Linked DNA regions of Oreochromis niloticus. The protein of the gene in region 4 interacts with the protein of the main gene of each other region in a pairwise test. Links are inferred from orthologs where the notes say so. Each region holds a gene or a part of one and is shown on either strand. Other genes may lie near its edges. The genes, in order: KAT8 regulatory NSL complex subunit 1, zgc:100829, gcc1 and cep70.

Region 1 (7,993 bases), on a different chromosome or scaffold from region 4:
AGTACGACTGCTGAAATTGGACTTTCTGTGAGGAGTCTTTGACTGCTCCTCTGGGTGTGAGATGGATTTTGGTGCAGCATTTTTCAGTTCATTAGTATTATAGTTGAAAATATCCTTTTAATGAAGAATATGCTGCAGATATTAAACAATTTTGCTCAGCGGTCTGAGAAAAGTGATTATACAGAGTTAAATCTACCTAAAGAGGCGTTTAAAGGAAAAATGTGGGAATTTAATATTTTTTAGCTCAATAAATACTTAGAAACACATTTAAGTAAAGGATTATATCAAGCTGTTTTGTAGCTGAACGCACTTATAATTTTTCCTGTGGTTAACTATAACTGCAAACTGCTGTAAGTAAATGAAGATGCAGTTTTAATGACATAAAAATGTAACAGAACTGAATTTCATCCCCCTATACATGTTTAAGACTCGCCATGCATGCAGTCAGGCATTATATGCTTGGATGCTGATTATAAAAGCAAATTAAAAGTAGCACATTTGTGCATAGTGAATATCTGAGTGACAGTTTTACAGGGCCCAGCTTCAGTCAGGTGATGTGTGTGATGTCTCAGCGCCATCTAGTGTTGTTTCCCTATAACTACATTTACATGTTCCTATGAGGCCAACACATCAGATGAACCACCGATGGTAAAATGAGGTAAAGAAAATGAACTTTCCAGAGGATTAACTGAAATATGCTCCTCAGCCCAGAGCATTATGATAACGGTATCCTGAAGACTAATGGTGTTAATTCTCAGTTAACACTACTTAAGTTGGTGTTAATGCAGATAGACAGACACCCAAACCATTTAAATGTCAAAACAAAAACATTTTGTGACAGCCTCCTATTAGGTTTCCTGTTTCTATCACCAAGTGAAGAAACACTTGATTTCTTCAGCTGTTCTTCCTTTACTGAATTACTGTAACTTGCACTTTATGAAAATGATTTTTTTTTTTTTTTTGGTGGGTGGCTGTGGCTCAGGCCGTAGAGCTCATGGTTTGATTCCTGTATCCCTGTACCAAAGTATCCTTGGATGTAATACTGATACAAGTGAACCCCTGGGTGTGAATGTTAATGAGAAAAGCTTGTGTTAATGGGCGAATGAGGTCAGTTGTATAAATCACTTTGAGAACTTGAGTAGAATAGAAAATTGCTCTACAAGAACCAGCCCACTTACTAATACATTATTTGGAGGAACATATTTTTATTAAACAGGCTTATTTATGTGACCCATTTAAATCAAACTGGACTTTATGCACTTGTTTGTTTTATTACTGGCTAAAGCAGTCTGGTAGACCACCACTGTTCTCTGTATGCAGCCACTAAACGGTCATTCCTGTACGTCTATATGTAAACCTTAGACTGATTTAAAATCAGTACAGCACTCACACATACGAGTTTATTTATTGATCTGATGATAAAGTTTTACTGAAGTTTCTTTATTTGTTTATCTGTTTTAACCCTGTTGAAATGATGTTAACACTGTATTTATCTGATTGTTTAAGTTTATAGTTGTTATAATCTCAGCTGCCCTCTTGTCGGCATATCTTTTGAAAAATCTACTGCACAAATAAAGGATGTGATAAATAATAATAAGTAAAACATGAACTTCTTGTGCCACTGTACATAATCTAAAAGTGCGTATGTGAAGCTGGGTGGAAGGATGAGCTGAAATGAAGGTGGAAAGGTTGCAGAAAAGACAAAGAAAAGGAAGAATTGAGAAAACTGAAAAGGTGAAAAAGATAAAAACAATGATAATGCAGCTGGAAAATGTGAGCATGTCATGTGAATAATAAAGTGTTTTCATAGTGCAGTGAAGTCCACGTAAGGTCCTGTTTAAAATTTGGTGGATGATTTCAAGAAATTTGACTGCCCTGTAATATATCCAGGCTGTCAAACATCCAACACGGGGCTCAGAACAGGCCCTCTTCTTCTTCTTCTTCTTCTTCTTCTCCTTCTTCTTCTTCTTCTTTCAGGTATTTCCTTTAGGAATCACCACAGCAGATCCTCTGCTTACATCCCACCCTATCCCTACCATCGTCCTCTGTGACCTTTCTTCATGTCTTCCTTCACAACATCCATTAACATCCCTTGAGGTCTTCCTCTTCTCCTCCTGCCTGGCAGCTCTATCTTCAACATCCTTTCTCCACTATATCCACTCTCCATCCTCTGCACATGTCCAGCCCTTCTCAGCCTTGGCTCTCTAACGTTGTCTTGAACTGCTCGACCTGAGCTGTCCCTCTGATGTACTCATTACTAATCTTGTCCATCCTGCTCACTCTCGAAGAAAATCTTAACATCAGCTCGGCCTCCAGTCTTTTTGTCAGTGCCACTGTCTCCAAACTATGCATCGCTGCTTGTCTTGCTACCATGTTGTAAACATTCCCTTTCACTCTTGCTCCTTCTGGCACAAATCACCCCTAACACCCATCCTCCACCCAACCCACCCTGCCTGCACTCTCCTCGTCACCTCCCTTGTGCTTTAGATGGTTGACCTCAGGTATTTAAACTTATTCACCATCACTACCTCTGCTTCCAGCAACTGCACTGTTACACCTGTCTCTCACTCATTCACCCAGTGAAGCTCCTTCTGACCTTCTCTATACTTCTCCATCATCACCTTTCTTCTTAACTTAGCTTCATCAACTCTTTCCTGTATCTTCATGGTATGGTTCATCAACTTCCTCCCTCTGCAGGTCCTACAGCTCTGCACATCGCCCTTGTTTTTAAAAATCAGTACCAGTACGCTCATCCTCATTCCTTAAACATCCTGGTTAAAATGTCCACTGCCCTCTCTCCTAGACATCCCCATACCTACAGAAGTATGTCATCTGGACCAGCCACCTTTCCAATCTTCATCCTTTTCATGCCTGCCAAAACTGGACCACTGAATGGCTTTCCACTACTACTTAAGTGTCAAAATTTATGGGAAGTCAAAAGTGTTTCTAGATGTAGACACGTTTTTTGAGTCATAAAGACATCAAGTAGTGTTGTATTCATTCTAAAGTTTAATGTATGTCTCCATGTGATGACAGCAAACTCAGTGAATGCTCAGCTGAAATTGCACCTTTTCATTTGTTACAAGAAAAAAAAATTAACAAGAAAATAATGCCTGGTAATATTATGTCAAATTTTCAAGGGAGAAGGGTAAAGGAGGTCTTGCACTCTGGTCAGGATTCCAGCTTCTTAAATTTGGACAGGTGCACTTTTTTATTAAAGGATTTTCTGGGTCAGGCCCACAGTTTTGGTCTGTAGGGAGTTAATTTTTACCCTCATGCTGTAGATGTATTTGGTTTCAGAATAACAGACGCATCTCATAGATGTGTAGATAAGTGAAGCATGTGTGTCCCTGAAGTTTTGACCACATGACCATCAATGAGCACACAATATTCCAGATATTTCTCTTTTACCAACAACAGTGAGGTCGAGCACTGATGTTGGCTAAGGTCTGCCTCACATTCGGAGCCAGATTATTAATTTACTGGCTTGAATAGAAATTCATATTTAAATTCAGTGCAGTGTAAGAGGCGTAGAAGATAGCCATATATCAATTCAGCAGCTGAGGAATGAAAAGCCTTGGCAATGCGAAAAGCCTCAAATACCTCCTCAAAAGATGCATTTTTCTAAATGTAAATGGTGACATTTGAATTAAAAAAAAAGAGGAGAAAAGGATGCTTACAAAGTTCATACAGTGCAGTGGTTAAACATGTGGCCCAGGGGCCAGAACCAGCTGCCAAATGGTCCCACTGGTCCCACTGTGAATTCATTAACAACTGCAGTTTTTCAGTAAAATGTGGTGATGCTCGCCTGACTACACAGAAATGAAAATGCATGAAAAGGTACGTTTTTCAAGTTGTTTGAACCACAAAACTGTAAAATACTGAAGCAGTATACTTACAAAAACTCCAGATGTGAAGTTTTTTCCAAGGTGATTTGCAAATTGTAACGCACATGTAATTACACTGTACTCACTGAATGCGGAGTAACTTGGATATATTTTTATTTTTGCATTTATTCTTTTAAAAATTGCCTTTTGTGGTTGTTTTTAATAGAGTGGGGTATGGGGACCTGCTTAACTCTTATGGTTTCAGCTTTTTAAAATCTTGCCCAGGTGACTGCGCTCAAAGTCTGCTTCTTCACGCTTAAAGAAAGGGGAAACTTGTCAGTGGTTTTACTGGTCTGGCTCGCTTGAGATCAAACTGGGCTGCATGTGGCTGCTGGGCTAAGATGAGTTTGACACCCCTGCTCTAAATGTTGAAAAGGCTTCACCCTCAGCCAGGCCTCTGCTCCTGAGTCATTTTCACTCCCCCTGCACGTACCTGAGAAAGGTCAGATTTAAGCTTTACTGACACAGCCCCACAGTTTGTCCCTCTGCAATGCTAACCGCTGGATTTTCATGCAGCCAGCACAATGCTGCCTCACTGACTTATATATCCACCCATCCTGTCTCCGTTGCCTGCAAGTAAGCATCAGCAGCTTCAAGTGAATCTCCATTCTTGTGAGGGATTTACCCGCTATTGTGCCTTTCACCGGTGAAATATCACCCCGCCAGCTCTTATCTGCTTAAAAATACGATGCAACAGAATATAGTAAACAAACTCATGCGCTGCCATTAGCTTTATGTTTGCGGTTTTTTATTGTGCAGTGAAAACCAGTGGCTCATTTCTAAGCAGTAGTCCCCAAAAACAAAGCATCAAAATGGGAGACAGTGTAGTTAATTTGAGTGAGAACAGTCGTGTAATGGCGCAGTAAAAGGTGTGCTCCATAAATGACGGGTAAGTTGTGAAACATTTTCAAATAAAAACAATATATTTTGGGATAATGAAGTTTCATGCTATGAACTTTCGTCCACATTTCCGCTGTACGGGCATTTGCAAAGACTGACATCTGCAGGAGCCAATAGAAAGCCTCGAACTGGACTCTCGACCAATAGCAGCGCAGGGGGGGCTGGTATTATGGAGTCGTAAACGGTTAGTAACAGGACAAGCAGGTAAGTAAGATTTTGTCTTGTTATTTTCTTAAAATAAATGAACGCTCCGCTTGGCAGGAAAAAAACACACATTCCGTTAAGCCCCCGGTTGTTTGGCTTGAGCTGGCGGAGTTTTTAAGCGCACTTTTCTGCTAAACGTGCAGCAGTCATTGAGAAGTCAGAGTGGGATCGGGAAGCAAACAAGCTAGCGAGCGTTAGCATCTCTTGCTAGCTCAGCTGGCTGCTATCTGGCAGCCTGGGAGTTCCAAACATTAGCCTGTTAGCTCCGCAACTGGAGAAACTACTGTTTGATTATGGCATAAATCTCCAGTGGCGCATTCCTTCACACAGCGTTCAGTGATGGAGCCGCTTTTTTGTAAACTTACGTTTAAATTTCTACACCGCTGTGCTGACATTAGGCGACATTTAAAACTTTTTCATTATAAAAATTTGCAACGATAACGTTAGTGGATGTTAGCTTTAGCTAGCGTTAGCGTGGCAGCAGGACATTCAGATAAATAAATAAATAATAAATAAAAATAAACAGCTGGGGAGACGCTACTTAAGACCGAGTCCTAGAAAAAAAATAGGGGGGTGGGCGAAGAGGGTATAATTCAGAAAAAAACGCTCAAATTCCGAGATGTAAGTCGCGCATTAACGAGAAAAATAGGAGAAATAGTGTTTATTTTTAGTCAATGAGCGACTTTGCTTCACTTTTGAACATTAAGCTTGAAAAAAAAATCAGAAATTTGAACTCCTTGTAATAAAAGACCAATAACACCTCCTTCCAAGTATGTTGTTAAGGCAGACAACAAGCTACAAACTCATATTCACTACGCTGCAGCGCAGGTCTACGTGCAGCAGGCGATGGGAGGAGTGCACGGACCCTCAACAGTGTACAGCACTGAAAAACGTCATGTATACATACATACGTCCTGCTTCGCTCTCATACAGTGCCAATTTTATATCTATTTGTTTTTTTACTTACACTGCGCCTTGTTTTTCATATAATTCTGGCATTGTTTTCATTTTTCCGTTTTGTTTGTTTGTTACATTTTTTTTTAATTGTCCCAGATTTGCAAATTAATCCTAATTCTCCGTTGCTTTTCTATTAAACTTTCTACAGGTTTTTTTTGTGAATATCCCTTTTTTCCTTCTTTAATTTGCATTTTTTTCCCCTCAGAAATTAGCCACACGTTTGTTGTGTAAATTAGCTGTTCTTTGTGTTAAATTGCCCCAAATTTTAAGGGTTGTTCTGTCCATTTTTTACTGGGCAATTTTCCAAAGTTCCACAGTTTTTTCCCCTGTAAGTTTGCCATTTTTTTCCTCAAAATTTTGCCCCATTTTTTTTCTCGTTAATTTACAACTTTTTTTAGTTAGTGTAATGTGCTGATATCGATTGATTTATGGAATTTTTTTTGCCAGTTCCAATTTTCTTTCTCTATAGCATCAGGATTGGCATTTAGCATAAGAACTGAAGTAAAATAAAAAGTAAAATCTGCCAAATCAACAACATGGCCCAACAAGGGCCTTGTGAATAAGGGAGCAGCTATAACTTGCAACATGTACAAACAAAAAATTCCACAAGAGTTAGAGGCTCGTACATCACCTAACCCTGTATCTTTTCCTACTACGCCGTCATAGTTAAATGTATTGTCTGAAATTTTTAAATACGATTCAAGTGATCTTATTTTTTGTTTGTTTGTTTGTTTTGTTTCATTTTAGGTGTCATGTTTTCATGTGTGGAAACCGGAAAAATGATCCCTTGGATTATTGAATGGAGTTCATCGACAATGGAGTTAAAGGTATAATTGTTATATGCATTTATCTTTATTTTAAAGCCAGGGGGTGCTGCAGCCACCCTATGGCTTTGGAGATAAGATCACATCAGGGATATAAGTAGCCTGGATTTTGAGGACCCGAGTGAAGAGCATCTGATTAGGATACTCTGTGGACATGTCCCTGTGGATGTATTTTGGTCAAGTGGGATGGATTACATATCCCTGGAAGTGTGGGAATCCCTTGAAGTTTGCAGGGATCGCCTAGGAGGAGCACAAGGAAGTTGAGACATCTTTGCATCAGCTGTAACGTGGAGCAGGACCAAATGGATGGATGGGTATTTGCCAGTTATGACAGTCACAGATCGGCCAGTTTGTTTTGTTTTAGTGATGTTTTTAGTTCACGTCCCATGAAGACCTGCGGAGGTCATTTTAGGTTAAGACAAAGCAACAACAAAAGGAAGAAGTAATATTAGGAGGTGAAAATCACACTTTTAAAAGTGGTAAATAAATAGGAAATGGCAATCACATTTCCAAGAAAAAAATGCAGAAATTCTCAGAAATGAAACTAGTGACAGGACCGGTTGACTGAAAAAGTTAGGCTTGTAAAAAGTGTAATATTCTTATAAAAACAACAAACATTTTTTGAAAATGATATTCTTTATTATAAAAGAAAAAAAAATTCAGAAATGATCAGAGATTAAAGCCAATCTAAAATTACAGATTTTCCATCTAAATTTATCACTATAACCATTAAAATTCAGTTATATTTGTTAAAAATGTATTCTCTCTGCAACACTCCATTATTTCCTCCTTAATTTTCTGAACAATCGCTCTCTTCCTCCCTCTGATTTACACAGACACACAGATAATGAAGTGTTTGCAATGCATGTCCTTTCTGGTAGTCTGATCATGCTCAGAGACCAGCAAGACCTGTTAGAATAAGTGAGGTGCATTCATCTTATTACTTAACAAGCATCAGGAGATCAGAGTTACTGAAACAATCTAAAATCACATATTTTTCCATTTTCATTTATTAATGGGTTTAAATGGCAGTGAGACAAGAGAAGATATAATGTAACTTTGTAAACATCTCAGCTCAGTTTCCCAGACATCGATTGGAGCCGTTTCTAGACGAAAACACTTCTCAGTAGAGAACTACGTTGAATTTCTCTTTTAGTGTGGGAAAATGGCTGTCAGTGTGCAACGAGTCGTTTATAGGATTATCTTCTGGTGCACAGGATG
Region 2 (8,094 bases), on a different chromosome or scaffold from region 4:
TGAAGCCAACGTACCGCAACTCAATTACAGTGCCCTACAAAGTGTGGTCCAAATTTGGGAATACTTTCTGTAAATATGCCGAGGAGATGAAGAAGATCCAGGAGAAACAGCGGGAGAAAAGGGCATGCGAGCTGCAGCAACAAGAGGAGATGCAGCAGGACGATGGAGACGAGGATTGATATAGACAGCAAACAAAAAAAGAAAAAAAGAGCGAGGAAAAAAACATGCCAGAGTAATGAAAATAACAAGAGAATTATAATTAAAAGAAAACACTCTACTGTATAATGAAAGAAATCTAAAGATTTAACTGTATTGGTTTAACCAAGGGAGCATCACCCACAATATAAGAAACCTCCACGACCTGACAGTTATGACATGTTGTCACTCATCGCTGGATGTTACCCCACTTAACCACCATTAATACAGTAACAGGCTGCTAAACAAAGTAATAACATTATATTTGAACATTGTTTCCTACTTGACAAACGATATTGAACTGTTTATTTCCCTTATTAACAGAAAACTTTTGTACCAGTCAAAGCTATTGTAAAGAGGAGAGGAAAAAAAAGTGTTTGCAATGTTCAAATTGAATGATTGCCGAGTTCAAAGGAGAGACAAAAAAAAGTTTCCTTCTCATGTGAGTTAAATGACTTCAGCACAAATCAGATGTTTTAATTTTTAAACCAAAATTCCAAAACTTTGTAAAAGGTTGTCACATGTACTTGCCATCCTATTTACCTTTACCTGTGAGTAGAGAGGTGTTTACACATAAATCATATGAGGGCTAGGCCTGCTTCGGAAACTGATAAGATTTCATGCAGTACATATATATATATATATATTAAAAAAAACAAAACAAAGGAACGTGTAGGCATTTTCATGAAATGAAATAAGTGCTCTATTTATTGTGCAATATGCATTGCATATAAGGAACTGGTCATTGGATCTTGACATTTGCCAGAGGCATTCAAAGATATATTAATATTGTAACTTTTGTTTCAGTTGAAATTGTTGCCATGCAGATGGATATATAATAGACTACCTTTGTGTCTCGTTGTTAATGCAATGTGTTCAGTTTAAAGGTACTAAATGTGTATTTGATAGAGGAAATGCAGAGACAACATGTAGCAAATGGCCTGAACTGCAGATTATTTAACAAGGCAAAAGACCCTGAATATACTGTGTTGATTGGCATGGTAAAAACCAGAAGAGCGCAATCGGTTAGTACATATGAAACAAACTTTTTGTGATCTTGTTTAGTCATAAAAGTCTAAATGGTGCCAAGGAGTGCTGTTGCTGCATGTTTATCTGCACTACGATTTCGTTGGTCTCCCAAAATATTGGCTCAAAGACCCTTCCATACGTATCTTTATCTGCCTATGTTGTATGAATCTCAAGTTCGAGGACTGGGGGGGGATTACCATCCAAAAGGCTCGGTGTAGTTCTAGTGGAAGTTGTTTCAAAGCATGATTGTAAAAGCAGCGACCTTGTGAACAGTAATCGAAATGTCACCATCACACTATGAGGAGGGCCACTGAGGCGCTTGCCTGGCTTAGCCGAGGTGAAGACAGCCTGGTTCACCTGTTGGTGAATGTCTGTTATGTCATTGGATGTGCACATTCCTTTCTTGCGTTTTAAGATCTTAGGGTGTGAAGTTCAGTGTGGGGCTACTTTGGATACATTCTCATAGCTCTGCTTTAGATTTGTAAGCCCAAATACCCACCTGGGGTGATGAGATTCTGTTCTGGTCTAATTGTAAATATTTGGGCTGCCACACGGAAAACAACTGGTTCTAATCCAGTTCAGTCGCATCTCATAGATGTGTGATAGCAGTTTTATAAACTCTGTCAGTAAACTCCAGAGAAACTGGCAACAATCAGATAATGTCAGATTTACCTCAGCATTGAATTAAATGATTGCTCCCATGTTTAGATTGACTGGAAACCAGCAAACTAGACTGTCCTTGACCACCTATTTTTGGAGCCTTTGGTATAGCCTAAATGATACCTGATTGGGAGCATCCTCTTCAGCATATAAACAACCTGGTGCCTTACACACTCCGCATGCTTACACGCTGGCCTGGTGCTTTGGATCGCAGTTATGGCTTCTTTTTGTTTTCTTCTTCTTCTTCTTCTTCTTCTACTTCTTTTTTCAAATCTCCTCTTTCTTCTATTTCTTGTGTCTCAGCCCCCTTGTGTGCTAGCGCACGACTCGTGGTGCTAAAAGGGTTTGTTACAAACTCTTTAGAAAAATAGGAGCAGAATTCTTAACTTTTTTCTGCTACCTTTCAGCTTCCCTCCCCTCGACTTTATTGCCATCCCCATTCCCTAGCCATCCAGGTATCGGCCTACATGTAAACATGGAAGGGGGTGGTCACCTAGATGCAAGATGATGCAGAAGAGATGGCTCTTCACCAGCCATGTGCATTAGCAGGGAGAGCAGGGGCTGATTGGGAACATCAGTAGTGGCCTGAAATGGTATCAATTGTTACGGGAAAGCCCCACCCCACCCCTTAAAATGCTCGTTTTATGGCTTGGGTTAGTTATGTGTAAGTTGTAAGTTGCTCAATTAATGGGGAGTAGCAAGCATGTCTTGTTTTGTTTTGTGTTTTTTTTTTTTTTTCTTTGTTTGTTTTTTTTTTTTTGTTTGTTTTTATGTAGTTTTACCTTTTCAGCATTATTCCACATTATTTGTAATTTTGGAATGTTTTTGCCCACAAAAATATCTTTTTTTTCTTTCTGTGCAACATTTCATCACTGTGTGCAATATCATATGTGCCAATGGTGGCAATATATGTATATCAATTAAATATATGATTACTATTTGAAAGCATATGGCTGAATTCCATGTTTATTTCTCATGAAGGAATTGTACGCCTTTATTTGCACACAAAGCTCCATCCTGGAGGAAAATATAGTAAACCAAGGTCTTAGCAGCCTGTTGAGTCAAGCAGTTCACGTACGTACTTTAACTTGAAATCGAACATTGTCCCTGCAAGTATGCCCCTCTCAAGGAAAAGGGTAAACTTGGTTAATGGTTTGTTCAAGGTAGACTGTAAACATACAATGGAGTTTTTTTGTTTGTTTGTTTCTTTGTTTTGTTTTTTTCTTTCTTTTTTTTTTGTGAAAAGGAAAATTTAAAAAGAAGAAAAAAAAATCCCTGGAATCTCCATTTTAGCTTTAAGCTAAGAAAAGGTGCTTCAGTCCAATCCTCATTAAGGTGTATGGTGAACTGTCTTCAGTGGTTGTTGTGTGTAGCACTTTGCTTTCCCAGGTTAATGAAATGCCTGACCAATACTTGTTTAAAAATGATCTCAACAAAGAATGTTGTTCTCTTTTCTGTTACCTCTTTTTATTTAAAAAATGAGGTTATTTGATTTGCTCATTTGGTTTTTGATGCATTCAATATAATTTATGTACATTTGACAAATTATAAAAAAAGAATAAATTTAATTTACCCATGAGGGGGAAAAAATCTACATTCAAAATGTATGTGTTTTTCATGTTTCATTTCTTGTTGTGGGATGGGGGTGGGGGAAATCACTGAAAAGTCTGTTTAATTTTTATGTAGTGTTGTCTACAATGTCTGATTATACATTTGCAATGATACTAATTGCTAAAGCTTAATTTTACAGCCTATAAAATGCAAATTTTGCAATGGCGAGTACCTGATGACTCATGTCTTCTTAGAGATTTCTACAATAGTACTGTATGTGTAAAACCAGGCTGTAAAATAAAGCGTTACTTTGTTCTCTGACTATCCCGACTATGCAATTTGTGATCATCTGTATGCAACAGTTGCTCTTCTGTGAGTTTTTCTGTTAATCTAAAAACCAAAAAAATAAGACTTTATTGATCGTGACCCAACAGAACCTGCACATGTTTTAAGTTAAATTTTTGTAATGATTGTTTTTCTTTCTTATTTTTTTTTCTTTTTTAATACGTTTGGTGTCGGATTTAAGCTAAAAATCAAAGTTAAAGAAAAGCTTAAAGTTGCTTCCAAATGTTTTTAGGATGCGTCTCAGTATTCTTGAGTTTATAGCTATTTATAAGTAAAACTGATTCCCTGTAACAAGTTGAAGTCTTGGTTTAATTCTGTTAATAAAATGAAATGACATAGAAAATGTTAATTATCATTATGTAAATTCTGAAAATTGGCCAAGTGATATCAGCAGCACCCTTTGGGTTGCTTCTAGGTCCTAAATCATGGAGCATAGAGGCAGATTTATTTCTGGGCCATCCACATGGAGTACATTTGTATTGCTTCAACCAGTCTCCTATCAGCAGAACCCACATAAGAGTAAATACAGCATAACGAGCTGCGAGGTCCATTCTCTAGACATGCCCAAATGGTATTTCTCCAGGACATATGTATGTTTGTGCTTTGTTGTTAGTTGATAGTCCCAGCCTGCCGGATGGGATGGAGGGTGAAAGAACTGAAGTGGATGTGCTATACCGAGATGGACTCCAGCCCAGATGCCAGCTTACACTCCGACTTTGCTCCTCATCCCAGAATCTACACAGAGAACTGGTCTCTGTCGTCACAGCATGACTAAAGCATCCAAACAAGGATAAACCCCATTTAATCAAACAAAAATTCCCTTATTAAACATAAAACACATTGTAAAGTGTTCTGATGGTGTTTAGTCTGATCCAAGGTGCCACACTTTGAATCTATGAGAGAACTTACATTTTATTAATTTTGAAACATGACCATTATCACATGAGCACTTTGTCACCGCTGACTATAACAAATGGCTTGCTACAAAAGCATCCTGCCTGTCGTTACCTTTCAGGTGCAGGTGTCTGCATGCATTGTATATTTACGCTGTTTTGCAGTTGAAATTTATGGAGCCATGCGGTCAGTGTGCACAAGCACCAGTTTTTATCCAGCTTTCATTTAGTGCTGTAGTCTGAGGTAGTTGAGCACTGGCTTGGGTGGTGACGTAATCCATGGCAGGCTCCTTTTCTTTTTTTAAAATCACAGTAATTGCTTTAACCACTAGAGGCCGCTCTTTACCTAAAAATGAGTGGCTCATAAGCAGAGGAGGACAGGCTTAGCTGAGAAAATTTCCTCTGGCTTGAATGTGCAAACTATCAACAGACATGGTAAATTGAACAGCAAACAGTTACTTGCATAAATCCTAGAAGGCACATCGGTTGTTTCACATAATGCTAGAAGCTGTGCTAAAGTTTTGGGTAATGCTAAACGCAAACGTTAGCAAATAGCATTTCTTAATTAAAAGGCGTCGTTAAAAGGGAAGAAAATACAGGAGGAAGGGAGCTATTTTTTCTTTGTTGCATTTTTTTAATATTGTTTGTGTAGAATTATATGTGTAAGCGAAAATGTTTTGAAGATATGTAAAATACGTGTGTTATGAACATGAACGCATGCCTTTCTTTCTAGCATATTTAAAGTGAGAGTTCAACTTCCTGAGAGCAACTCAGGAAGTTGAAATGTGGCCTTAAATGTAGCCTTAGTGTGTGTGTGTGTGTGAGAGAGAGAGAGAGAGAGAGGCTGTCAGAGAGAGAGAGGAAGGGAGAGGGAGGTAAAGAGATTATGGAATGCTGTGATGTCATCAGCTCAGTCATACACACAAAGACGAGGAGGACCCACAGGCGCTGTGACTCCCTCAGCTCAGTTAGCATACTCTGCTGTGGAGCGGCTGTCTACATCCCACTGTGAGTACTTCAGCAAATTCTAACCTTCTCTTGCAACTCCCTTTTTGTTTTGTAGCACTCATTTTCTCCACTTCACCCCCTCCCCCCTGTTTTCTTTGGTTTCCTTCTCTGCACCCTGCGGTGTGTTTAGCAGACACCAATCTGTATTCCACCAGTGTGATAGTTTTCAGTCTGAGACGAGCTTTCTTTCCCTCCAAGTGCTGCCTATGTGGTAGCCATTGTTTAACTACCCACTGTGACTGGAGGAGTCCATTTCAATCCTCTTGTTAGACAACCTGGCTCTCGCTGTCCAGTGCTATGACCCAGATTTTTATCCCTCATTACAACCAGACACTGGCCATGTTTTAAAAAAAAAAAAAAAAAAAAAAAGAGGCGGGGGGCCGCTATCTTGTGAGAGTTTTAGAGAGAAACGAACATGGTTTTGGGGAGAGGAAGGAGCAGGGTGGGACACTGATGTCAGAAGCAGTCCCATTCCTTTGGAATCTCCTCCCATTCTGGGTAGCAGACTTTCTGTAAAGTGTTGAAATTGGCTTTGGGCTCTTCCGTATTCATGCAGGGAAGGACAAGACAACTGCCTTAGATATTTCTAGGAAATAAGAAAAGAAGTTTCTTAAGAAAATATGTAAGACACTGCAGCTTTGAAAATCATGCAAGATGATCTTTACTGTGTGTTTTGTTTTTCTCATAGATTGTGCCAAAGATGACCTCCAAAGAAATCTGACATCTTGATGGGGAAACTGAGCACAATATAGAAAGGAAGCAGGATTTGTGAGTGTGTGTGAGAGAGAGAGAGAGAGAAAGACAGACAGACAGAGTTTGTATGTGTGAGATAGTACAGCCTGTACAAAAGCATGTGTAGAAAGAGCAAGAGCCTTAATTCATGAGTTCAAGAGTGACTATAGGGACAAAGAAGAAGCTACAAAAGTCCTCTGCTGACATGAGACCATAAATCATCCTTACACACTGTACACTACGAGAAGCAAGCTTCAACTGCTTGCCAAGTGGTACCAGGTTAACGCACCAACCCTTCGGCCGCCAACATGCTGCAGCAGATCTTAAAGGACATGTACATTGACCCTGAGGTGCTGGAAGCCCTTAACGAAGAGCAGAAAAAGACACTGTTCCTGAAAATGCGCCAAGAGCAGGTGCGGCGCTGGAAAGAGCGGGAGGAGAAACTGGAGAGAGAGGGGGGCGACGCAGAGTCCAAGAGAGCAAAGCCAAGAAAAGGTAACCACACTGATCCATCACCACCACAGCCGCCACCTCACCCTTTTTAACCTTCCCTCTTCCTGTTTATCTCGAATCTGAAGCTGCAGGGTGCAGCTTCAGGTTTTTCAGGCCTCCGACTGTCACGTTTTCACAAAGGTTCCACAGGAAGCCATCTGTTTTCTTCTGAGCAAGCGCTTTTGGAGTCCTTGGAGTCGAGATATATGAGTAGTGTGCTGAGAATTATCCGATAGAGCGTTACAAAGCTTGATAAGGGAACCACTGAAGCATGTGTACGTTGGCTGTGACAGATATCCTAAGCTGCTGGAGTTTGCATGCTCCCAATTACCTGAACAGCTGTTTGTCAAAACATGAAGTGAGCATCAAAATAAGTTTTGTTTTGTTTTTTTTTGGGGGGGGGGTTGTTTTGTTTTTCTACAGCTCGTCCTAAACTATTGCAGATCTTTATTTAAATATCTGTTATAATTGCACTTTTTATTAAATGCTTCACCCTCCACAAGGTGAAAATAGTTTGACCGTATGGTCTAATTTCCTTGTCTTCTGAGCCTCATTCACACAGACAGAAACTCTAAATTAGATCATTTTATTTCCAATTGAAACATTGCAATGTGAGGTCCCAGATGTTGCTCATATCTGGAATTCTGTATTTGATGACAAATAAATGTCAGAAGAAAACATCCACAGGACAGGAGGAGATGGCAAAATAACGCCTCTGTAGGGAAATTTACAAGTTAAACGAAGAGTACATGTGTTTATCAGGTGCTGACATAAGATATGATAACAAATACTGTCTTTTTCCCCATACTTGGTAAATTCTTTTGCTCAACCTAGGTGGTGAGAGTATGCATGGGAAAAACAAAACAAGCAGAAACTCAGGAAGCTGCAAGCCTGTCGTGAAACTGGTTTGACAAAATCTTGCGTGTCTGCATTTTCTCTTGTACGTCTTTTGTATTAAGGACTTCTGGAAGAAGGGCGTTGCGTAACAACATGAACATAACAAATTGCTCTATCACCTTAATCCAAACAACAGGGGCAAAGTTAATTTATTTGGATGAGTGCAGCAGTTACTTAAACCACAGTGATATCACAGCATGACTTAAAGCCAGTTGATGATTGACACAGTGATGTGTTCTGTCTGGTCTTGGTTAATCAAAGCACTTTCTATCAACTGTAGTACAGAGCGAGA
Region 3 (7,276 bases), on a different chromosome or scaffold from region 4:
CTGCACCTTCCTTCTTGCTGCAGAAGTGTTTTCTTCCTCAGGTACTCTACCTGCGTCCCATCCACCAGGTGCTGCCCTGCAGCCTCATGACATCATGCTTCTCCTGCGGGCTGAAGTGCAGGATGGTGAGAATGGCAGTGAGTGTCTGCTGGCGCCCGTTGGCGTCATGCAACGTCAGAAACCGGTACACAACATTCTTCAGGTACTCCATGTTGGCGCCCTCGCGGCTCTGGTCCCGGATCAGTTTTTCGAGGCGGTCACGCAGGGCTGCCACCTCCTCATCATGATGCTCTGCGTTTGCAATGAGTCGTTCCTGCAGCTGGCGCGTGTCCTCCTCCAGTCGGTTCTTCTGCCGCCGCAGCGCGCCCACCTCCACCTCCTTACGTGCGAGCTGCTCAGCGTACAGCAGCAGTGTTGACTCATTGGGTGTGGCCTGCCGCAGCGCCTGGCTGATCGCGTCGGTCTCTGTGTCGGGGCCATTCTCTTGAGGGTTGGTGGGTGTGTTGTCAACACGGTTGGACCAGCTGAGTGTGGCGGCAGCAGCCCGCAGCCTCTCCAGCTCGCGGTCCTTCTCATCCAGCAACGCCATGGTGCGCTCACGCTGCTTGTGAAGCTCTGCCTCCAGTCGCAACAGTTCGTCACGGTGGAGTGCCTCCAGACGCTCCGCCTCCTGCCGGTGTGCCTGCTGCAGCGACACTGCCTGCTGCTGGCGCTCATCAAGCTGCTGGCGGTGGTGGGCCTCGGCCTCGTCACTCTGCACACGCAGGTTTATGTACTTCTCACGCAGCTCGGCGAGCTGGTCGCGGACTTCCTCCAGTTCCCGCGCCTGGCAGCCATCTTTGGTGTTCTTGTTCTTCAGAACCACCTGCGCACGCACCTTGTAGCGCTCAAACTCATCCCTCAGCTGCCGCAGCTCCTGCTGATAAGCGAGGGCTGCCGCCGCCGCATCTGAACCCGGCTCCACCTCCAAGTCCTGGATGTTCTGGTCGGGGTTCCTCTGAGCCGCAAGGAGCAGCAGCTTCTTCACCTTCTGCAGCTTCTCCCGCAGCGCCCCCACGTCCAGTTGCTCATCTGGCCCGAGGTCAGAGGTCGCCCGGCTGGAGGCAGCGATGGCGAGTGTTTTGTTCTCCGTGTCGAGCTGCAGCACGCGATCACGGAGCCTCTGTGCTGCCTGCTGGTCACGCTGCCTTGCCTTCTCACACGAGCCCAGCAGCTCTGACAGCTCCGATACACGCTGCTCCAGGACCGCCACCCGGGCCTCAGCCAACTGAGCACGCTCATGAGCACGCTCTTCTGCATCGCAAACCTGCAACACGAACACAGAGATGACCTCACTTCCTGTTCTAGTTTACCTGGTCTGTTAGAGCTTCAGCTGTTTAATGTGGTTAAACCAGATTCCCTAGGACCTGTTTTATTGGGACTTTGTTTAGTGGGACCTGGTTCTGGGCTCACCTTGCGGGTCTCAAGCTGGACCTGCTCCTGGACCTGGTTCTTCAGCTTGTTCAATTCTTGCTGCAGCTCGTCCACTCTGGGGTCGGGTATTCGTTGCTCCTCCTCGGCGGCCTGCAGCCTCCGCCTCAGCTCGTCTCTCTCTTCCTTGACTTGGTTCAGGAGAGCCTCGGACTCCGCCCCCCGGTCCACGGCCTGTGAAGTCACAAGCAGGGCGGTGCTGGCATCCTGGAGGTGGAGCTCGGCGTCCTGGCGGAGGTCTCGCTCGGCCTGGAGGAGCCTCTGTAGCTCGCGGAGCTGCTGAGCGTGGTCCCCCTGCTCCTGCTCGCGCTCGTGCTGCTGCGTAATGATGCGAGCGCGACTTTCAGCGAGCTGCTGCTGCAGGTTGTGCAGTTCTGCCTCGTGCTGTGTTGTCATGGAGACCAGACGTTCCTGCAGCTCTTCAACTTCCTGTTTCAGCTGCCGCTTGTCTGCCTGGAAGCTCGCCTCCATTCGCGACTTCTCCTGCGTCACCGTGGCCAGCGAGCTTGTGAGCGTGCTCAGTTGGCTCTTCAACTGGGCGACTCTACGGTCTGCCTCCATGCCGGGAGGGGGCGTAGCCTGCTGCTGTTCTGTCCCCACGCTGCCACTCTCAGAGCTGCCATCGGGTTCAGATCCCTGCAGAACAAACATGGAGTCAGAGAATAAGACATGACATTATCAGAGCGTTATGGTGATGATGATGATGTCATCAAGTTCTGACTGTGTTCTGGTGATTTAAGTTCAGTTGTCAAAGTAACGTACCACCAGCCTTCCTCCCAGTTCTGCCTGGTCCTCCTCACTCTGGTCGCCTCTTGTAGTCTCGCTGGCCATGTCCAGAGACGCCGCCATATCCACGCTGTCCTCGCTGTGCAGCGAGCAGCCATCCTCGGTGAGCTCCGGTGTGGCGGTGGCCGAACCCTTCTGGGTCAGGTCCAGGTCCTGGGTCACGCTTAGGACCTTAAGGCTGGCCTCCAGCGCCTCTTTCTCCTTCAGGAGGCTCTTGTAGGCCCGGACCACATCCCTAAAGCGGGTCTGGTACTGGATCAGCTGCTTCTTCTGGGACTCCACCGTGTCCAGCAGCTCCTTCCTGCTCGGACCGCCACCAAAGCTCATCCCGAACTTCTCCATGACCTCGTCCAGGTCTGACCAGGTCTGTCCAGGTGAGCCTCTGATCACAGACACCAGAACATGAACAGAACCTTAGCATTGACTTCCTGTTAGAGGGGAAACAGAGAACAGCTGTTCAGATCACTCATCGATCAATTATCGATGGATGGTTTCTGTGAAGCTGAAACTTTGTGCTGGAACACAAAAGAAGAAGGAGGAGTAAAACAGTTTCTCACCTCTTTCTCTTTCTCAGTGTTTGTTTCTCCCTTTGACTGATTTTTCCGCCGCTTTGATCGTCTCTCCTCACACTGCGCCGACAAACCGGTTCGATGTGGATCACAAACTCGCAACCTGTCCGTCACAGGTGGTCAATAATCGACCCAATCGATGAGTGAAATCCGACTCAAAGCTTCATCTGTCAACAGGCGCCATGTTGGACCGAACCGGAAGTGACTGAGACGGAGGAGGCGGGAGTTTACTACTTTGTTCACGGACGTCAGGAAAATGCACAATAGGATGATTTTTTTTTTTTTTAGCTGATTTAAATTAAAAACTCACTGATTTAAATTAAATAAACAGCCAAACACAGCCAATAAAGCATATGTATATATATATATATATTATTATTAATATGTTTAACATTTCTGAAAGCAATACAGTATTTTGAATTGATTGTTTATTGGGAGAAAAACATTTTTTTCTTATTTTGTACAAATTTTAGAAATAAACTATTAGATTAAAAAATAATTTTATTAGAAATTAATTTTAACTTTGTTGGTTGATGATTGATTGAAAATATTTTCATGATTCCGTTCATTAAATTCTGTTCTTCCGTTCTTCAATAGAAAACGCTTTATTATTCTACACACATATATGTTTTTAGCACTGTCACAGAAGCAGTACGTGTGTATTTCACTTTGTTATGTTCTGTTGTATAATGACGTGAACATAGTGACATATATACATATAAATTAAACGTATTAATATAAATGGCTGTCCCGGAGCCGAGAGTGTTCCTCGCAGCCCATGAACTTCACTTCATGCGCAGAGCTCGAATGTACGGTGTTTGAGCGGACAGTGAACGCCGCGGTGTTTGCTATGCTGTTAATAAAGTTGTTGTTTTTTTTAAAGCGCAGCAGTGACGTCATTTGTTCCGCGTTGGCCTGGACGTGGCACCGAGAGGAGCTGCGCCCTCAGTTCGCTCTGCTCCGCTCCGCTCCGCTCCGCGCCTTCTCGGCTCCATTCCGCTGCTGCTCCCGGACCTCCGGCTCTACCCGCCGTCAGTGTGTGACCTGCCACCGCCTCCTCTCCGCAGCCATGGGCCTCACAATCTCGTCGCTGTTCTCCAGACTGTTCGGGAAGAAACAGATGAGGATCCTGATGGGTAAGCGGGGGCTAGGCTAACGAGCTAACGGGCTAACCGGCCGGGCTCCGGGGCGGCTGCAAGCGGCTCCGCGGGCTCACCAGCACCACACACCGTCTCATTTTACCAGGAACCCGCTCACCGAGTCCTGCGGACCGCGGGCCCGATCTTCCCGTGCAGGGAGAGGCAAAAGTCCGGCTCGGAGAAGCAAGAGGCTGTTAGCTCGGAGCTAACGGAAGGAAGCAGGCTGATAACAGTCCGTTAAACCGAGTTAAATTGGGGTCTAAACGGGGGTTAAACTGGGTTAAGATGTTTTAATCTGGGGTTAAACCTAAAACTGTACCGGTGTCATCTTATTAAGTCCATAAAAACCATTAAACCCGGTTTGATCTGAGCTTTAAACCAGCAGCTGGACTCTGATCTAGGTTTAAGTAATCTCAGATTAGTCTTTATTCACTGTATGAGGTTTAAGTAATCTCGGGTTAAACTTGAACCACTGTGAGACATTTAATTAATCTGGGATTAATCTTTGATGTGTGTTTCAGTCGGTTTGGACGCTGCTGGAAAAACTACGATCCTGTACAAACTGAAGCTCGGAGAGATCGTCACCACCATCCCCACCATCGGTACGTCATCAGGACTCAGGGACCAAATGAGGTCATGTGATCAATAATCAGCCGACTGTGTAGTCAGGTGGTTTGAACGTGGTATTGATCAGATCTGATCGGTTTGAGTGAGGATTCCCCAGGCGTGCTGGCACTTGCACTATTTTCTTTAAACTTCTCCTGCGTCTGCGTCTACAGGTCAAGTGACCTTTTAGAATAAGAGTCACCTGTTAGTTTGAATAAATAAGGTACCAAAACAAGAAACATAAATGATGAAAGTGCAGACACACACTTACAATGGTGAAAACAAACGTTTAAAGCAGGTAAATACAAGCTAAACTTATACACACCACCAGCGTTTACACAGCTATAGATATGGAACCATTAAAACTACAATCATGGAGAAATGAAACATCAACGTTTATAGTCAAGTCATCCTCAGTCTTATAGTTTCAGTTTACACAGGTGTCTCCTCTGTGCAGGTATTTCAGTGCTACTGCTTCACTCTAACTTTATATACTGTTACAGTCACTGTTGTACTGTGATATTTATTGTTGGTTCCCAGCGGGCTGATGGGATGTGTAGTTTCCTGTCAGTGATTCTGTTTCCTGTGACTTGGAATGTTTGAAGGTCATTAAAAGCTGTTTTTTTTTTTTTTTTTTAAATTTGACAAAGAGTCACCTGTTCACAACTCTGTGTGTGTGGTTGTGTGTTCAGGCTTTAACGTGGAGACAGTCGAGTACAAGAACATCTGCTTCACAGTTTGGGATGTTGGCGGTCAGGACAAGATCCGACCTCTGTGGAGACACTACTTCCAGAACACACAGGTACAGAAGCAGAACTCTCAGGTGCAGGCAGGTGTGGGACTTTTCTCTCTCTGAGGAACGAGATGTTCAGGTTGATCTGGTTCAGTTATGTTTACCTGGGCATTCATGAGAAGTTTTCTTCTGTGACCCCTCACTGATCTGATCTGTCCTGAGATATTCATCTATAGTAAAATCCTCATTTATATCCTCTATCTGATCATATCTTTATATCCATAAAGCTCTTCTTTAGCAATAAGTAACATAGAATAGAGTAGAATAGAATAGCATAATTTATCAGAACAGTTAGTGCATATTTGAATGAAGTTTCAGTGGATTTGCTGTCCATTGAAATAATTCTATATAAAACAATCTAAAAGTATAAAATACATAGAAGAATGTCAAACGTGTGTACAAATAGAAGTGACATTTATGTGTATATGCATGCTAGTAAAAGAAATGTTTTATTGAACAGTAATAAAGCAGCAAAACAACCCAGTGTACAACATCATCCTCATTCCAGATGTTCCGGCTTAAATATATAATCAGTAAAAAGTCTGGGAACTGCTTCAGAAACGTTTTGAAGCATAAATATTTTTTTTTAATCGAACTTTCAGTAAGAAAAGCAACTGAACTTAAATAAACAATTTCTTCAGTGCTGTGAGAACGTCAGGTTTGTGTTTCCACAGCTTTACAGAGGTGCTGCAGGAAAATCAACAAAGTCAAACATGAGTCCTAACACGGCTGCATTCCCCCTCAGAAACACCTGAGGAGCTTATTTTAGATCCCTGACTCTGCAGCACAACACACACAGCACAGACTTTCACTGTGGGCAGGATCCATTAATCACTGTATTGATGTATTAATTGTATCGATGACTGATGTATTGATCACAGGGTCTGATCTTCGTGGTGGACAGTAATGACAGGGAGCGAGTCGCCGAGTCGGCGGAGGAGCTCTCTAAGATGGTCGGTCCCTTTGATCACTTTACAGTTACGCATCATTAGACTCATGATCGTCATGGTAACCACTGACTGTATGTCACATGACTCTGTGCAGGTCCAGGAGGACGAGCTGAAGGACGCGGTACTTCTAGTGTTCGCCAACAAACAGGATCTCCCGAACGCCATGGGTGTCAGCGAGCTCACCGACAAGCTGGGTCTGCACAGCCTGCGCAGCAGAACCGTAAGGATCAATAACCCATCCGCACTGATCAGTACTACAGACTGAGTTCTGTTTCTCATGTTTCCCTCCATGGTTTATTGACTGATGATCTAAGTTCTCAGCTGTTTTTCTTGCTCAGTTCTGTAATTGTGAAATCAATAATCAGTCAATCAGTATACAAAACAGGAGACAGTGGGGTGACCTCAAATGAGCCCACAGCATTGGTCTGGGGGTGGAGCTCTGAGCACATCAGCCAACCCAATATCGCGACAAAGCTTCATGTTGAAGCTGCAGTAATCTGCACTACCAGCAGGAGGAAATGATATATTTAAAGCCAAGATGTGGGTAGTGAGCAAAATAATTCCATTAATCATCAGAATCGATTAAGTTGGGTGGCTGATATGGATGTACATGTAAAAGTGTTAATAATGTCTTTGTAATCGCGAGTATTTTCATGTTGGCTTGAAATAAAATATCTCCCTCTGCTGGTAATCTGTGATGTCAGTGCCAGTGGGTGGAACCCTTGGGTTTTAATTTTATAGTTGCATCCTAATTGGTTGTTAGAAAATCCACTCAGGGGTCTTGATGTCACTGTCCACAAACTTATGGAGCTAAATCTGTTTAGACAGTTAAACTCACTTGTGTGTGCTCCCTGTACCTGCCCACTCACCTGTGATGATCTGTGTGTGTTTCAGTGGCACGTGCAGGCCACCTGTGCGACGCAGGGCACAGGTCTGTACGAGGGACTGGACTGGCTGTCCAAT
Region 4 (7,003 bases):
ACCACATTTGTGCTAGAATGGAGCCTAATGTGTGATTCTAAACTGCCCATAGGTGTGAATGACTGTCTGTCTCTATGTGTAATGGTCGCTGGGATTTTCTCCAGCTGGTACTTAGTTACTCAGTAATTCAATAATTAATTCCTCCAAACCATCAACGTGTCTTTTAGACCCCATTCCTACAAAACTGCTCAAAGAAGTCCTGCCATTAATTAATGCTTCAATCTTAAATATGATCAACCTATCTCTAATAATCGGCTATGTACCACAGGCCTTCAAGGTGGCTGTAGTTAAACCTTTACTTAAAAAGCATCTCTAGACCCAGCTGTCTTAGCTAATTATAGGCCAATCTCCAACCTTCCTTTCATATCAAACATCCTTGAAAGAGTAGTTGTCAAACAGCTAACAGATCATCTGCAGAGGAATGGCTTATTTGAAGAGTTTCAGTCAGGTAAAGGTTGATCTTGTCACGTCCGTTCCAACAAAGTGGCAGTGACAGATTTTGACTGTTCGTTATCTCCATGGTTTTAAACACACACCTGTCTGTGAGGCTTGCTCCCCAGTCTTAAATTTGCTGTGAGTAGTTCACCAGGATCCTTCTGTACGGTAGAAGACACCAGTGAGCCGTGCTGCGCGAAGCCGATCGGCCCATCGACCTTTACGGCCTCGTGGTGAAGCTTCTGCCGAACATATTTTATCTTCCCAACCATTTTAATACCGCCGAACCAACTTTAAGTCCACTTCTTACACGAACTCCCTCGTGTTGATACTTCCATTCAAGAGCGTGCAATGTAGGTCAAGTCGTCTATGCTAATACCGGAAATAGTTCTGTTTCGCCTTCAAAAATATTTTCTCTCCTTTGAACATGTTGCCTCAAGCAAGGTTTTGGTATTTCACTAACAGAAAACACGCCGCGTACTTAACTTCCCCCCTGTTATCGCAGCTGCCATCGACGGTGTTAACACTTTAACTGACTTAGAGAGCGAATAAGGAGGTTAAACATATTTTATTTTGGTAATAACTACCGGAAGTAGTTATAGTAGTTCTGAGACGGCTGGTGTACCAGCTTAGTGCCTCGGTGTAAAACGAGGAGGAGTGAAAGTTCCTAGTCATACTAATTTCCAAAAGTTATGTTCTCCAAAACTTTAAGATGTATGTGTATATATATATATATATTATATATATATATATATGTATACATATATATATATATATATACATATGTATATATATGTGTGTATTGGTATAATTTCCAAAAGGTTTAGTACCAAGTTATTTTATTTCTTTTTTTCTTTACCTTTTAGAAAATAGGAAAATAATTACTTCCTTAAATTTGTTGAATAATTTGATTTGATGAAATAAATATTTTGTACACTCTCCTCGAGTTGCAATGTTAACTATTATTTTTATATTTTTATTCTGATACGTATTTTTATATTTTATTTTCTATTTATACGATAGTTGGAAGTAAGCCACAGAGGTAGCCAACCAATTCATATTCACATCATCTGCACATTTAAATTCAGTATGACAAAACATTTATTTATGCGAATAATTTTAGTCTTCTTAAATATAACTCACGAAACAAGTAAAAGTACAAATGTGTATACGTTACAGACGTCCTATTTAGTAATTGTGCATGACAATTTTGGAATGGTTTGAACTGTGGGTTAAAGGAGAAAGAGATTAGGGACTAAAGTAGAGGACAGAGTCAAACATCACTGACACAGTCTCTCCCACATGAAGTCCAGGTTGCAGGTTTTCCTGTGTGGGTGACTGATGTGCTGCCAAAGTCGTAAAATTCTCTATGACTATGGTAGGAACAGATGTGGGTGTGTCCTCATCTCCAGAGAAGTCCAAGTTGATCAAACAAACCTACGCACAAAGAAATGAATAGAAAATGTAAACATCAGCAAAGTATCAGCAGGGATTTAATAAACCAACTTTATGAACTCTGTGAGAATTATTTCCCTATCATTTACTATTTACATCACAGCATTCAGGGCCTTTACAGACACAGACCTTACAGAGCATACAAAGAAAATAAATAAACTCATTCAGTTTCAGCTTTGGCTTTTATTACATATGTTTTATTAATATCTTAACTTCATTATCTGTTGTTTTACCACACATTTGACTAAGTATAGGTACTTTAGGTGCATATGGTTAAATGCTACTTATTGTAATATACTGAAGATTCAATGCAAAGATTCAACTGTGTTAGAGAGGCTAAGAATGAAAGTGTGCACTCGTGTAATGAAAACAAATGAACTTGAATCAATACTGTCATCTCTGCTCTTTGCTTTGTCACAGAGCAGTAATTAGTGATGGGAATTCCGGCTCTTTTTAGAGAACCAGCTCTTTCGGCTCCCAACCGGCTCTTCAGGTTGTTTTGTTGCTTTAATTAATTTATTATCAAAAACAATGTAAAATTATGCACAAAAGAAATTACTAATGTAAAAAAAAAAAACTTGGATTTATTTATATGTTTACATATAAATATATACGGTGGCCCCTAGAGACAAAGCACGTACAAACTCCAAAACACATTGCTACGTTAACTAACCTTCCTAAACAGAGCTACCTAGATCACTTAAATTACACAATTGAAAGCATATGTGTATTGTTTGTGTATTTATGCACAAGCACTCATAAAAATTCAAATAATTAAAAAAAATGTTCATTTACCTGTTACTACCACACACCAAATCCGGTCGTTGGTACTTCTTGGCTTGTGTAGCCACTAGGTAACAAAAGCTCAACACTGCCCCTAGCGTCCTGGAGCACTTCTGTTGTGTTTTGTATGTGCTTCGGAGTTTGTACGTGCTTCGGAGTTTGTACGTGTTTTGTCTCTTTGTCTCTTTTATTTATTCACTCCACATAAAATGTCAAAAATTAATTATAAAATACAAAAACCAACTATTTACATTTCAACTTTTAACAATTTACATTTTCAGCTTTTTCCTTTTAAACAAATTTAAAGTGAAACAAAACAAAACACTGCAAACCACAACACAATTAAATATAAATTAAAATATGAAAACAAAAAGAAGATGCACATTCTCTGTCATATGGGGCTGCATGAATAAACTTTCTGAATCCTTCATCATCTGCCACTGAAAATAGTTGTGGATGATTACTATACCTTTCTAATGTGACGTTGTTGTCCCTGGCTCTCTTTCTCTGTCTCTCCCTCCCGCTCTGTTCCTGTGCAACTGCGAGTGTAACTACCGCCCCTCCCCCCTCTGCTCAGCGCAAGCACAAGGCTCGCGTGCGGAGAGAAGCGGAAAAAAGTGCGAGAGAGAGGGTGAGAGAAAGAAAAGAAAAAAACACGGCTCCCAATAAGGAGCCGGCTCGCGTCGTTCACTTCAAAGAGTCGGCTCTAAGAGCCGTTTCGTTCGCGACCGACACATCACTACATCGCGCACTTATTTGAATGACGGAAGGAGCATATTTTCTGTATGAGATGACTGAAAATGAGCAAAGTGTACATCAACAGCTGGTAACTTGTACTAAAATTATCGGTACCAGCCTTCTTTGTTCACTACATTAATATTTGCTAAGCTAACGTTCAGGGCCAACGCTAACTTGTTAGCTACTAGTGCTGCTAACACTGCCTGTGCCTGTTTGCTTGATTAGGATTATATTTTTAACTGGACGTTTATTTATCGACTTTTTACAGGAAGTACTTACAGTAAGGACTTAATTTAACCACTTTAGGAAGTCTAAGGTGAATGAATGTGGTTTGGCTGATTAAAGAATACATTAAACGAAGATTACCAAGTTGTGTTGAGACGCCAAAAGAAGAGCTGTTCACTGAAGCCCTTTGGACACTTGTTGATTTCTTTCTGTAGACTGAACCGATGAAACAGGTAAGCTACGTATTAAAACAGCATGATTAAGGTGATCCGAGGCTGCAGGGTTGTTGGGTCGCCTTTCATACACTGCTTAGCTTCAGCGACCACTCTCAGATACACGAGCTGCATTGTTAGTGAAAGCTGGGTTTACGTTGAGTGGGACGTTTTTACGCGTGGATATGGACGTCAGGACTACTTATGCTTTACAGTCAAGAAATCAAACATATGTTTATCTGTGGAGCTACAAGCAGTTTCAGGTAGAGCTGTATTTCTGTTAACTGGAAAGTGTTGAACTCCGCTGTCAGTGATGGTTTGTGTGTGTTGCAGCAGGAACAAGTGGAGTGGGATGACGTGAACAAACGTTTACAACATCATGGTTTTAAACCGGTGTTTTTTGCAGATCCCGCCGAGAATAAGAGTCCTGCAGGTAAGAATAAAAGTACGAGTATAAGATAGACTTTATCAAAGGTCACGTGTTACGGTGGTCGAAAGTGAACAATCGTATGAGGCTGAAAACTGTAATAACTACAAATGGAAACAAAAAACAGAATTTAAAACGGCTTACTCAGCTGACTAAAGACAGGATGTATAAAGTGGCTCAACAATATAAAGTGTAGCTGATCAATGCTGTTCAGTAAATTAAGTTACTGTGTTAAATGTCAACAGATTTAATTTACATGCAACTTTAAATGAAAAGAATGATTTAAATGGTCTTTTTGTTGTTTACTTCTCTATAAATTCTACCTTGATTTTTAAGCAAAAATGTTTGGCTTTAAGAGGCTAGTCAGTGTGATTTGATAAGTAATGTATACGGCTGTCTGTGTGTTTGTAGATTTGGTCCTTCTGGACAAGAAGTCAGCTGCTGAGCTGAGGACAACTCTGAGGATGATGCTCACAGACTCCGAGAGAAGGCAGGCCCTGATCCAAGAGCTTGTTATGTCCAACAACCAGCTCAAGTAAGTTCGGCACTGTGTAAGAAAAATTCTAAGTGATAATGTGATGTTATTTAGTGATGTTTTCAGTGCAACATGTTTGCAACTATCTGTTTAAACATGGAAACTGTAAATAGCCCCCCCCCCGGACATTATTGCAGTCACACACAAATGTCATCTTACCGGACTGAACCTCAGACTGTCCTGTAACGTGGGTAGGAGAGCTGGGGTCTGTTTCAGTGACACATGCTGGATATTAATAATGTATATGCAGTGTTGTGTAGACCACCTGTCCTGCTGTCATTTAACCTCTCCAACATCAGATGAGTATCAGGAACACACATGTCTTGATCCTCACAGACCAGTACAGGCATGAAATGTGAGACTGGGTGGCACACTGCTGAGATGGAGTATGTATGCTCACCAAGTGTCAGGCAGTTTCTGTTGGTGCTTGGCTTTTCTCCAACAGTTCAGCTCTATTCAATTCAGTTTTATGTTTATAGGGCCAAATGATAACAGTTTCCTCAAGACGCTTTATATTGTCAGGTAAAGACCCCAAATTAAAACAGAGAAACCCAACAATCATATGACCCCCTATGAGCAAGTGCTTGGCGACAGCGGGAAGGAAAAACTCCCTTTTAACAGGAAGAAACCTCCTGCAGAACCAGGCTCAGGGAGGGGCGGGGCCATCTGCTGTGATTGGTTGGGGTGAGAGAAGAAAACAGGATAAAGACATGCTGTGGAAGAGAGACAGAGATTAATAACAGATATGATTCAGTGCAGCGAGGTCTATAGAAGAAAGCAGTCCTACATATTTGTTTAATATGAAGGACATATCCTGGTCAAAAATGACTCCAAGGTTCCTCACAGTGTTATTAGATGACATGGTAATGCCATCCAGAGTAAGAGTCTGGCACATTCCTCTTGGTACACATGCTCTTCTTTCCTCACCCTTTGAGATTTTAACTTGTTGATTCTGTTTTAAGAATTTTACGTAGAAGATTGAAGTTATGTTGCAATAAAGTATTCGGTGAGCCTTTCAGGACCTTCAGGACTACACAAACTGCAGTCAGCAGGTGCAGAGATGCTTTGCTTTGTGTGTTGTTAGAATGGAGGTTCAGGAGCACATGAGCCGAGCAGCTCAGCAGTCTCAGAGGGTCACAGAGCTGGAGGAACTGTTGGAGAAGGTGAAGACCAGAGTCCAGGATCTGGAGGACCGCTACCTTAGCAAGGCAGTCCAGCAGCACAGCCACACACAGCAACTGCAGAAGGAAAAACTGGAAGCACATGTGAGTCATTCAGTTTTTTATTTCACACTCCTTTAAATTTCACATTAACAAAAGGGCATTTACAAAGAGTCAAAACAAACGGAACAAGCACTCAAAGCCACAGTTACTTCTTTGTATTCTTTTTCTTTCAAGCTCCAACTCAGCACCAAGTTCATTAAATTTCCTTTGGAAGACTTAGTCATAATCATGCTGAACAGCTCTGTGCATGTAAAACACTGAACAAACACTATAATTCATATAAGCAGACGTCTCCAGGTGTCTGCTGAAGTTTACATGATGTGAACATATTATCTGTAATGAACAAAGATATTCCCGAGTCCCCAACGTTAACATTGAACCTTGAGCTGTTTCCCTAACATTTAACAGGCTACCCTGATCTCTTTAAGATGAATTTAGGTGTTTATTTTCATCAACTGTATGTTTTCTTATAGAGCACACATTTAAACATTAATGTTTCATGTTTCAATGGTTTGCATTTTCTGTGTACTGGTAAAAGAAAAACCTTCTGCATACTTTCAGAGACGGTGTGAGGTTCTAGAGCAAAAGCTGTTGAAACAGAAAGAGGAGGCAACCCAGCTTCAGAGGAAACTCCATTTCATCACCAAAAAAGAAGAGCAGCGATTGGCTTTGCAGCGTCAAACCTCCCAGCAGAGGTCTCCTGCAGATCAACAGTAAGAACTACTTTATTTGAAAACCCCACACACAAAATCATTGGACAGTGTGTAAAGTCTGTTCTAGACTGTCTAGGGTAGGGAGCAGTCAGCCATACGGTTGTGCAGATCTGTAGAGGAGGGCTCATATCAAATACTGCTACAACATGGTTTTTGTAGAATACCAATAGAAAGTGAGCCTATCTACATCAGTCAAGCATGGCATGTTGTAGCAGGGCCCGTGCTCAAAAGTCAGGCCCGTGCCCCAGACGTGCTCA

Evidence for each region.
Region 1: the proteins of cep70 (region 4) and KAT8 regulatory NSL complex subunit 1 interact in binary tests that used the Homo sapiens proteins (3 or more experiments, as listed by UniProt). The two-hybrid records come from large-scale screens. The link is inferred for Oreochromis niloticus from reciprocal best matches to the Homo sapiens genes CEP70 and KANSL1.
Region 2: the proteins of cep70 (region 4) and zgc:100829 interact in binary tests that used the Homo sapiens proteins (3 or more experiments, as listed by UniProt). The link is inferred for Oreochromis niloticus from reciprocal best matches to the Homo sapiens genes CEP70 and SH2D4A.
Region 3: the proteins of cep70 (region 4) and gcc1 interact in binary tests that used the Homo sapiens proteins (3 or more experiments, as listed by UniProt). The two-hybrid records come from large-scale screens. The link is inferred for Oreochromis niloticus from reciprocal best matches to the Homo sapiens genes CEP70 and GCC1.

Annotation. Positions count from the first base shown.
Region 1 is NC_031973.2:4,611,018-4,619,010, forward strand, and holds the start of KAT8 regulatory NSL complex subunit 1, read left to right. Parts: upstream 1-4,920; 5' UTR 4,921-4,991; intron 4,992-6,695; 5' UTR 6,696-6,775; intron 6,776-7,993. UniProt on the Homo sapiens protein: Non-catalytic component of the NSL histone acetyltransferase complex, a multiprotein complex that mediates histone H4 acetylation at 'Lys-5'- and 'Lys-8' (H4K5ac and H4K8ac) at transcription start sites and promotes transcription initiation.
Region 2 is NC_031975.2:13,263,101-13,271,194, reverse strand, and holds the start of zgc:100829 (SH2 domain-containing protein 4A), read left to right. Parts: upstream 1-5,046; 5' UTR 5,047-5,681; intron 5,682-6,369; 5' UTR 6,370-6,721; coding exon 6,722-6,908; intron 6,909-8,094. Other genes in the region: puraa (purine-rich element binding protein Aa), read left to right, coding at 1-179. UniProt on the Homo sapiens protein: Inhibits estrogen-induced cell proliferation by competing with PLCG for binding to ESR1, blocking the effect of estrogen on PLCG and repressing estrogen-induced proliferation. May play a role in T-cell development and function.
Region 3 is NC_031981.2:23,184,982-23,192,257, forward strand, and holds the start of gcc1 (GRIP and coiled-coil domain-containing protein 1), read right to left. Parts: upstream 3,045-7,276; 5' UTR 2,814-3,044; intron 2,685-2,813; 5' UTR 2,599-2,684; coding exon 2,233-2,598; intron 2,107-2,232; coding exon 1,453-2,106; intron 1,307-1,452; coding exon 47-1,306; 3' UTR 1-46. Other genes in the region: ADP-ribosylation factor 4, read left to right, coding at 3,895-3,961, 4,486-4,566, 5,263-5,372, 6,245-6,316, 6,408-6,533, 7,208-7,276. UniProt on the Homo sapiens protein: Probably involved in maintaining Golgi structure.
Region 4 is NC_031986.2:2,891,966-2,898,968, forward strand, and holds the start of cep70 (centrosomal protein of 70 kDa), read left to right. Parts: upstream 1-3,982; 5' UTR 3,983-4,033; coding exon 4,034-4,111; intron 4,112-4,181; coding exon 4,182-4,281; intron 4,282-4,686; coding exon 4,687-4,810; intron 4,811-5,894; coding exon 5,895-6,075; intron 6,076-6,594; coding exon 6,595-6,746; intron 6,747-7,003. Other genes in the region: ribosome biogenesis protein SLX9 homolog, read right to left, coding at 537-707.